Linked DNA regions of Danio rerio. The protein of the gene in region 2 interacts with the protein of the main gene of each other region in a biochemical or structural test. Links are inferred from orthologs where the notes say so. Each region holds a gene or a part of one and is shown on either strand. Other genes may lie near its edges. The genes, in order: top3b and tdrd3.

Region 1 (3,828 bases), on a different chromosome or scaffold from region 2:
ACAACAAATAGTCCCAGAATCAAACGTTCCCCATCCCATATAAGCATTTTGCATTTCTTTACATTTCTATCAGATTCAGATTACTGTAAATCATTCATTAGTTGTAAATAGGGATGTAACGGTATCAGAATTTCACGGTACGATAAAACCTCGGTATGAATGGCACGGTACGGTATTTATTGAATAATTTACAGGAAAAACAAAACTAATGAAAAGACTCGAAAAAAGTGCCAAAAGTGCTTATTTACCTTAGCACTGAACATATCAATGACATACAAATTAGCCATCCATCTGTAAATTTCAAAACAGGAACTTCAATTTTTCAATTTTAATAACAAAAAACTATTAAACATATAAAAAAAAAATAAAGTTTCAATTTAGTATTGTTGAAAACTCATCACATTCAACATTTAATCACTCACTCACTTAGATAGAGATGGGTTTTTTAAGGAAAATGATCATATAACTATAATCTGGTAAAAGCTGGGATCTCTGGGCATGTCCCCAGCAACAGAAAAAAACCCCTCTCATTTGGGACTAAGGTTTCTGGGACAGAGAAATATGATTTAGCCAAGGTTGACAGCAGTGGGTAATATTGTGCATTGTCTTTCCAACCACTTTAGAGGACAAGCCATGATTGAGATAGAGGTCTCTTTGCGGTACAAGTCAATGTCTGCATCAATCTAACAAGTGTGCTGTGTTCTGCAGTCCCCATGACTGTTTTTAGTCATATTCCCCGACTTATATTTCACCAAAGTCTGGCAGTGCCTGCATACTGTTTTTTTCTTTGTCTGTCACCTTTTCCCCTTTTTCATATCTTTTTATAAAGAAACCGAAATGCTTCCACACATCCGATTTAAAACCGGCTTTAGGTTCGATCATTTCCAGCTCTTTTTCTTCCCCGCTACTAGCAGCACACTCCATTTCCGCATTACTGGATCTGTAGTGACAACAGACCGCAAAGGATGATGGCCACGCCTAGGCTGATGGGAATTGTAGTTTCCGCTACCTCCCGTTCGCTTCTTTTGCCTAAGCAAACTTATCTCAGAACTATAGTTATATTGAGTCATGCACCTACGGTAATATTGAAAAAAATTACTATTGCGGTATGACGGTATTAACAATATTGTTACATCCCTAGTTGTAAATCATTCAAGTATAGGTGACAATGAATGGAAAAATCCTTGTACCCTCAATTCTGGAATGAGTCAAATAACTGTGATGCGAATACTGTGATACTGTAATTAAATTTGCAGTGTTTAAGAAACAACTATGATGTTCGTTTGGCATAAACAGACCAAGATGATGTGAAATACTAATATCAGAAGTGCATATTGGATAAATGTGCGGCTTCACATGTCTAAATTAGTTCTCTTCTTGTGAACTTGTTGCCAAGACGATCGGTTTCAGATGTGCGCATGAATGGTCATACCGATGCCGTGTTTCTCCATGAGTGTGATGAGTTCGGCTTCAGTCAGGTAATCCGGGGGATTGGTCTGTTTCTCCAGCAGTTTAATCTCGTCCACAGTAAACATGTCTCCTCGCTCACACACCGGCAAGGCCTCCTCCTGCGCAATACCCTGCCAGGGCATCACCTCCGTGTAACCTGAGAGAAATAATAAAGGTATAGTTCAAGCAAAAATGAACATTTCCTTATTATTTACTCACACCCAAGTGGTTCTTTCAATAAGTGTGGGAAGCCTGCACAGGGTCTCCACTGGAATATGTTTTTAAAATAAGGAAAGACAAAAAAAAAATGCACAGACCAGCAGAGATGAGCGTCTTCCCGCTGCATGTGAAGCCCTCTGTGGCGATGCTGAAGGAAATGGTGGTCTGCAGGTATTTGCAGTCGGGGCTCACCGTCGCTATGAAGTGCCGTGTGATGTAATCATACAGACGCCAGCCATCACTGCCTGCACAGACATAAAGACAGATGTGTTTTACAGCTCTGTTGTTTTATAGATCTTATTATAATGGAGTTCAGATCAGAAAAGGTTTGATTCTCCTGCTAGACACGTTGTCAAAAGCAGCTTTAAAGGTTCAGGACAGCCTGCAGTACTTTTTTGAGATTTTAACAGTTTTGTGTGTGTTGAGCATCAGTTAAGACGATGTTGGCACCTGTTAGCTTTAATTATGATGAAAACTGTATAATTTGGAGCTTTTGTCAGATAATTTCTTCTTCCAGGTTTAAAATCATTTTTGGGGCGGGGTCAAAATGGTGACGTAGTGCAAAACTGCAAGTGAAGTGATGACATGTCGATTTCTCCTTATTATTTATAGCAGAGCTTTCTTATCCAATGAGAAGACCCAGCTTGTTAATTATTCATGAGAGCATGTGCTTTTCGAAGGCAAGGCAGACCTGCCAAGCTGTGAGACCCAATGTCTGGGTGAGAATGTGTTAATGCACAGAACAGGACGTATGTGTTTGCTTCCATGATTCACAGGGTTTGTTGCATGTTTTTCCCCGAGATGCTGACAGGGCCGATACAGTAAAGCTGTTGGTTTGCAGCAAGCATTTTTGTCGGGAGAGCAGTACGAGAAAAGGAGAATGGCGAACTTTGACTTATATCAGTTGTGTTCGTTACCATTCAGACACATCGCTATCTGTGCTGCTGTGTTCACCTATGTTAAAAATCATACAGATTACCGGCAGGGTTAATAGTTGGTATAAATAGTGTCTGCATTCAGAACCGGGGATTCAGGAGAAGTTCTCCTCATTTATAATGTTTATATAAACAAATTGTGGTAATGTGTATATGAAATTATGAACAACATATGTAGCAGGGCATTAAATTACTGTTTATTTCTCTGTTTTGTCTCCCATCCAGGTAATGACCAGGCTCAGCTTTGCTTAGCTTCAGTGAGTAACCGGTCTTGGGCTGCAGTATGATATGGCTGTGGCTATTTGTTAGCATCCGCTACTCAAGCCGTTTGATATTGTAGTGGAAAACTATAATTTCTAGGGATCTTCAAAAAAGAACAGCATTTAGTATTTTGCAAAGTTATAAATGGCACTTTTAATTAGTTTATTGTGGTAATTTAAATAGCTGAATAAACTGCATTAAATGTTGGAGTTTAAAAAAAAAGTAGTAATTGTATTAATAAATGCTGACCCCAGTTTTTTAACCTTGACGTACAGACTGTATGTTACAAGTTTCACTAGATTAAAAACAGATGAATAAATATAAAATTAAGTCTATATTTCTCCCCCTTTCATTCAGTATTTCAAAACTGAATCATGAACGTTGTCCTGAAATGTACAGCAGTCAACATTTGAAGTGGATGATCATCTTTCATCAAAGCTGTACTAAAATATTAAACAACACCCGTTCTTGTACAAGGACAATTTGATTCACTTCAAAAGTTGACTACTGTATATTAAATCATATTGACCTTGGTGTGCTCCTTAATATTTCTCAACCTTTCAATAACAGAAGTGTAAATATGAAATGAGGAAGTCTGACAGTCGCACCCAGTTCACTCTCAGAAGCGGCTCTCATTGGAGTGATTGGCGGGTGGTCTCCAGCATCTGCTCCTTTCCTAGGCCTGTTTATTCCCTCAGAGAGCAGTGCTTTTACCTGCGAACAAAAACACACACAGAAACAATTTTCAGAAGATTAATCACGTCACAAAAATGACATTAAAGGATTAAACACTAAATAATAGATCAAACAGAATAGAATAAAAAAACTAAACAAAATATTATATAATATAATATAATAAACATGTAAACAATATTATAAAAGATATAATGTAATAAAAAATGTCATATAAAACAATAAATAAACTATACTTAAAAAACAAACAGATAATACAATAATATTATTT
Region 2 (4,416 bases):
CTTTATCTCCCCATTGACTAGACCAAAACGAAGAGTCTGAAACAGTTGAGTGTGTCTCTTGTAAAAAAATGCATTGAGAACCATTACTTTTACAAAATAAGAACATTGCTTTACGTTTGACTTTATCTTGGATGCCCCTGACGTTAAGTGACATGAGAGAAATTTTGAACTTAACTGGAAACATAACAAAAATAGCAAAAGATGAAATAAAATAACAGAAATTTGTTCACAAAAGAGGAAATCTCAGAACGGGTGGTATAAACCCCAAACAGTTATAACCACAACAGAGCATACCTCCCAGCCTAGCGTTTCTTAACAGTCATATTTCAAACTGTCCTACCATAAAAGGACAACTACACAGTCATGCGGCGTCAATGCGCTTCCCTTCAATATACCCGAACGGTCCACGGTAGTAGGCTATCTTTCCTGCTTTTCGCGCCTGATCGATCAAAGGCCACAGCGCAGCGCGGGCCAGCCGGTCCTCCCTCGTCATATCCTCCGTGAAACGAACTCCGTGGTCGCGGCACACAGATGAATTTTTAGTAGACCTCCAAATTTCGTCCCTGTATTTACGCATTGTGAACTGCACAATCACTTGCCTGGGTTTACCTAACTCCTTCTTGCCAACTCGGTGCACTGTGTCAACAATGTCTTCTAATTTATGAATCAAATGCGGAGCAATTTCAGCGATCATGGCAATCGTTTCTTTACGAGCATCCTCCTCGGGCTTCTCTTTCATCCCGTTGATCCGGAGATTCCATCTCCTTTTGTATCGCTCTAGCTCTGACGTTCTGCTCGCCAGGTCTTTGTGTGATGTTGTTAGATATAGGAGTGATTTGCTCGCTTCTGCACATTTTTCTTTGCAATCTTTAATTTCAGCGGCATTGAATTCAACCGCCTTAGAAATCTCTGCCACCATGATACTGTTCTTTCGCATCTGATTTGCCATGTCTTCTAACTGTTCATTTTGTACGTCAAAACGAGCTGTCAGTGATGTTATGGCTTGCAAGAGAGTTGCGTTAGTGATGTCATCATCATGAGGTTTTAGCTTTTTTTTATCGTTGTCTTTGGTCGGGGTGAAATGGGATGCATCACGCCGTTTGTCTGTTTTAGCCGTCTGTACCTCCATTTCTGGATCTGAGGCCGCGTCCTTCACTGAAGTGATGTATATCTTTGGGTGGGTAGTCTGCTGTGAAGATTTCGGCATTTTGACGATGTTAAACACCCCTGTGGTGTTTAAATGTTGTTTTAGGTAGGTGAAGATGAAAATTTGTTGAATTCTAAAGATAAACTAGAAGTTTCGCTAGGCTGCTCGGTGAAAACGCATGCGTTCAGCCCGCCATCTTGTCCCCCCCGACCACTTTGACCCGAGAAGCGTCAGAAGTTTGCGCGTGACGTCATCTGTCTTTGTCCAGCTGCAGCTTCAGCTAACGATGCAGAAATGAATCCCGAGTAACACACAATGGTGTCTTAGTGAGATTTTAGACAGCGATTGCGTACAAACTCTGCAGCGTGTGTGAAGATGTGCGATTTAAGCTCGGCGCTTATTAAAGAGGGCTGGTGAGTCTATACTCTGTGCCATCGGCTAACTCTTTAGCATGCTAATGATGCTAACTCATGTTTACATGCCTTTACTCACGCAGCGGGATGTGCTCATGCCATGCGTTTGAAAGTGTTTATTTAACAGTGTGCAGATTATAAAAAGTCAGCAGTTTATCACAGTGTTTCTTTGGCGTTGGGTTTGTTTACGTTACTGTTGTTGGCGGCTAAATCATTAGCACGATAATCAAGATTAATTTACTGCTAACGTTAGTCTTTTGGAAGTAATTCTGAATCAGTATGTGTTATATATTAGAGGTGGCCTATAGTATCGTTTATTAATCTGCTGCTGAAGTTTATTGTTGATACTGTTTAAATCTGACTGGACTGAACTTTGACGAGCTCCGTTAAACTTTCTCCAAATCTCACATCATTAAAGGAGTTTAAGGTTTCATGTTTATTTATTTGTTCAGAGTTTGCTTTAATTTCATTTAGATGTCAAACTTTATCGTCTATATTTAGTCTTAAAGTACTAAGGTGCAGGCCAATGCTAACAGAATGACAATTTGATGCAATGGAGTTTACATAATACTGAAATAAGTGCTTAAAAGTCAAATATTTGACCTGCTGATTAATAGTAAGATAATACTAAGACAATTATTTTGTGTTTTAAGGTGTTTGAATAAGCAAATTGAGCAATTATTAGTTTTTAAACATACATCTGAATACTGAATAAAGCTAGGCTAATTTGGTTTTATACAATTCAATTCATGTTTATTCATGTTCAGTTCAAGTTTCAATTAATATTTATGAAGCGCTTTTTAAATTTGGATCGTGTCAAAGCAACTGAACATAGTTCTAGTAAACTGATTAATAGAACCATGTGATTGATTAAAATACTACTATATAACCTTACGATATTAAAGTAATATCCAAAATCAGGGGTGCCCAAACTTTTTGTTATGAAGAGCCAAAAAATGAATTTAACTGTGGGTTAAAGGTAAATATACTAAATGTACTGTAAAAAAGTGCAGGGATCCACGAAATTCATTTAGGTTGTCCAAACACAAATAGTTGCCCAAAAAATCTAAAGAATTGTGTTGTTTGAGCTCAGGTTAAACAAGCAGCAAAATGTAAATTTTGACTGAGTCTTTATTACATTAAAGTTGTCATGGGTAATTTCTTAATTTACTTGATATAAATAAATTAATAAATAGACTTAATCTGAATGAATAATGCAGTAGTTTTTTGCATTTTATAAACGTCTCATTAGAATAAAAACATAATTATTTTATATATATCCAGGACATGTTTGACTTTTAGGCAGTGAGCGAGCTGATGCAGCTGCTAAAGATGCTTTGAAGCAAGTAGTGAACAAATGCCAAATTCCTCCGTTAGAGATGAAACCTTTTATCAACGCTTACATTTTAAACAAGTGGCAAAAGGAATGGGATGCATTAGAAAACAATCAAATTATATGAAATCCAACCTGAAGTTTCACACAGAATTTTAAGACATTTTAAGAATCGATTTGATCAAGTAGTTTTTACCAGATGTTGTATTGGGCATACGAGAATAACACATGGTTTTTTGCCCCAAGGTGAAAACCATACTCAGTGTTTGTGCTGCAAAACTCCTCTTACTATTAAACATATTGTACTGGGCTGTCCTGCTTTTACTGATTCCAGAAGAGATTTTTATGAAATGAACTCTTTTAAGGACATTTTTGACAAAGTGAAACCAGAAAAGATTTTAGAATTTTTATCATGTATTAACACTAAAAATCTTATTTAATTTATGTTTTATTTTGTTTGTTGATTTTTAAATTGTTTATTTATTGTTGAAAGATTCCTGCCATGAAGATAGCCTTGGTTGCTGACATGGCATTAAATAAAAAATACATTACATTACATGCTGTTTGTGCAAAAATGTTTATAAATTCAATTTAAGCATGGATCCTTCATATTTAGGGCATCAAATATGTCGAAAAATCCTGGTTAAAATCAAACACTTTTTTTTTTTCACAGGTACCTTACAGATGAAGGAATCGAGGAGTGTAAAAGTTCTTCAGAGAAGGAGAAAACATCACCCACTGACATCATACAAGTAGCACTAAACGTAAGCGCTTTAAGAAACACTTTTATCCTTTTTATTTTGACAATGTCAATGTATATCAATAAGTTTCTTACATAACATGTCTTTGTCCATCTGGGATGATGTATATTTGAGTTTCGGCTCACCATAGAATCAGTCACACCTCAATAAACAGATAATACAATTATATAATTGACAATAAATAATACTATTATGTAATCCACAGAATGATCTGAGACCCATCGGTAAGAGCTTTCTCCCAGCTGACATCAACAGCGGACGAATAGAAAAGGTACATTTGTGGATGAAACATAGCTTGAACTAAGAGCTGCTGCATGCTTGATTCTGATTGGCTCATGAGCAATCTAAGGTGTGCATTTATTTTCAGATAATTGCACAGCTAAAGTAGTTCCGGCAGGTTTTGAGTGCTTTATAGCTCTATTTCACTACACTGAATGATTTGAGTTATTTCACAGCTACAACAGTCAAAAATCACATCAAATCGGAAGGCTTCGGAGGAGATGTGGAAGAAACTTGCAACACACAGGAGCAGTTTGAGGATAAAAACCTGACAAATGTCTGAAATGCAACATCTGAATAGCAGTGTTGGGTACGTTCCTTTAAAAGAGTAATTAAAGTTAAATTAAATAAAATATAAATAAACTTGTTTGATTACTCGTTACTGAAAAAAGTATCTCGGTTAGTAACGCTCTTTATTTATAGCGCCGTTATTCCCAACACTGCTGAACAATGGTTTTGGAACCGTAATATAAGTAGAATAAT

What was found.
Region 1: the proteins of tdrd3 (region 2) and top3b form a complex in vitro, tested with the Homo sapiens proteins (2 studies listed by BioGRID and IntAct, with this or other methods). The link is inferred for Danio rerio from reciprocal best matches to the Homo sapiens genes TDRD3 and TOP3B.

The regions. Positions count from the first base shown.
Region 1 is NC_133180.1:13,914,190-13,918,017, forward strand, and holds part of top3b (DNA topoisomerase 3-beta-1), read right to left. Parts: intron 3,579-3,828; coding exon 3,473-3,578; intron 1,914-3,472; coding exon 1,767-1,913; intron 1,607-1,766; coding exon 1,433-1,606; intron 1-1,432. UniProt on the Homo sapiens protein: Releases the supercoiling and torsional tension of DNA introduced during the DNA replication and transcription by transiently cleaving and rejoining one strand of the DNA duplex.
Region 2 is NC_133186.1:45,112,120-45,116,535, forward strand, and holds the start of tdrd3 (tudor domain-containing protein 3), read left to right. Parts: upstream 1-1,369; 5' UTR 1,370-1,522; coding exon 1,523-1,560; intron 1,561-3,566; coding exon 3,567-3,657; intron 3,658-3,859; coding exon 3,860-3,925; intron 3,926-4,416. UniProt on the Homo sapiens protein: Scaffolding protein that specifically recognizes and binds dimethylarginine-containing proteins. Plays a role in the regulation of translation of target mRNAs by binding Arg/Gly-rich motifs (GAR) in dimethylarginine-containing proteins.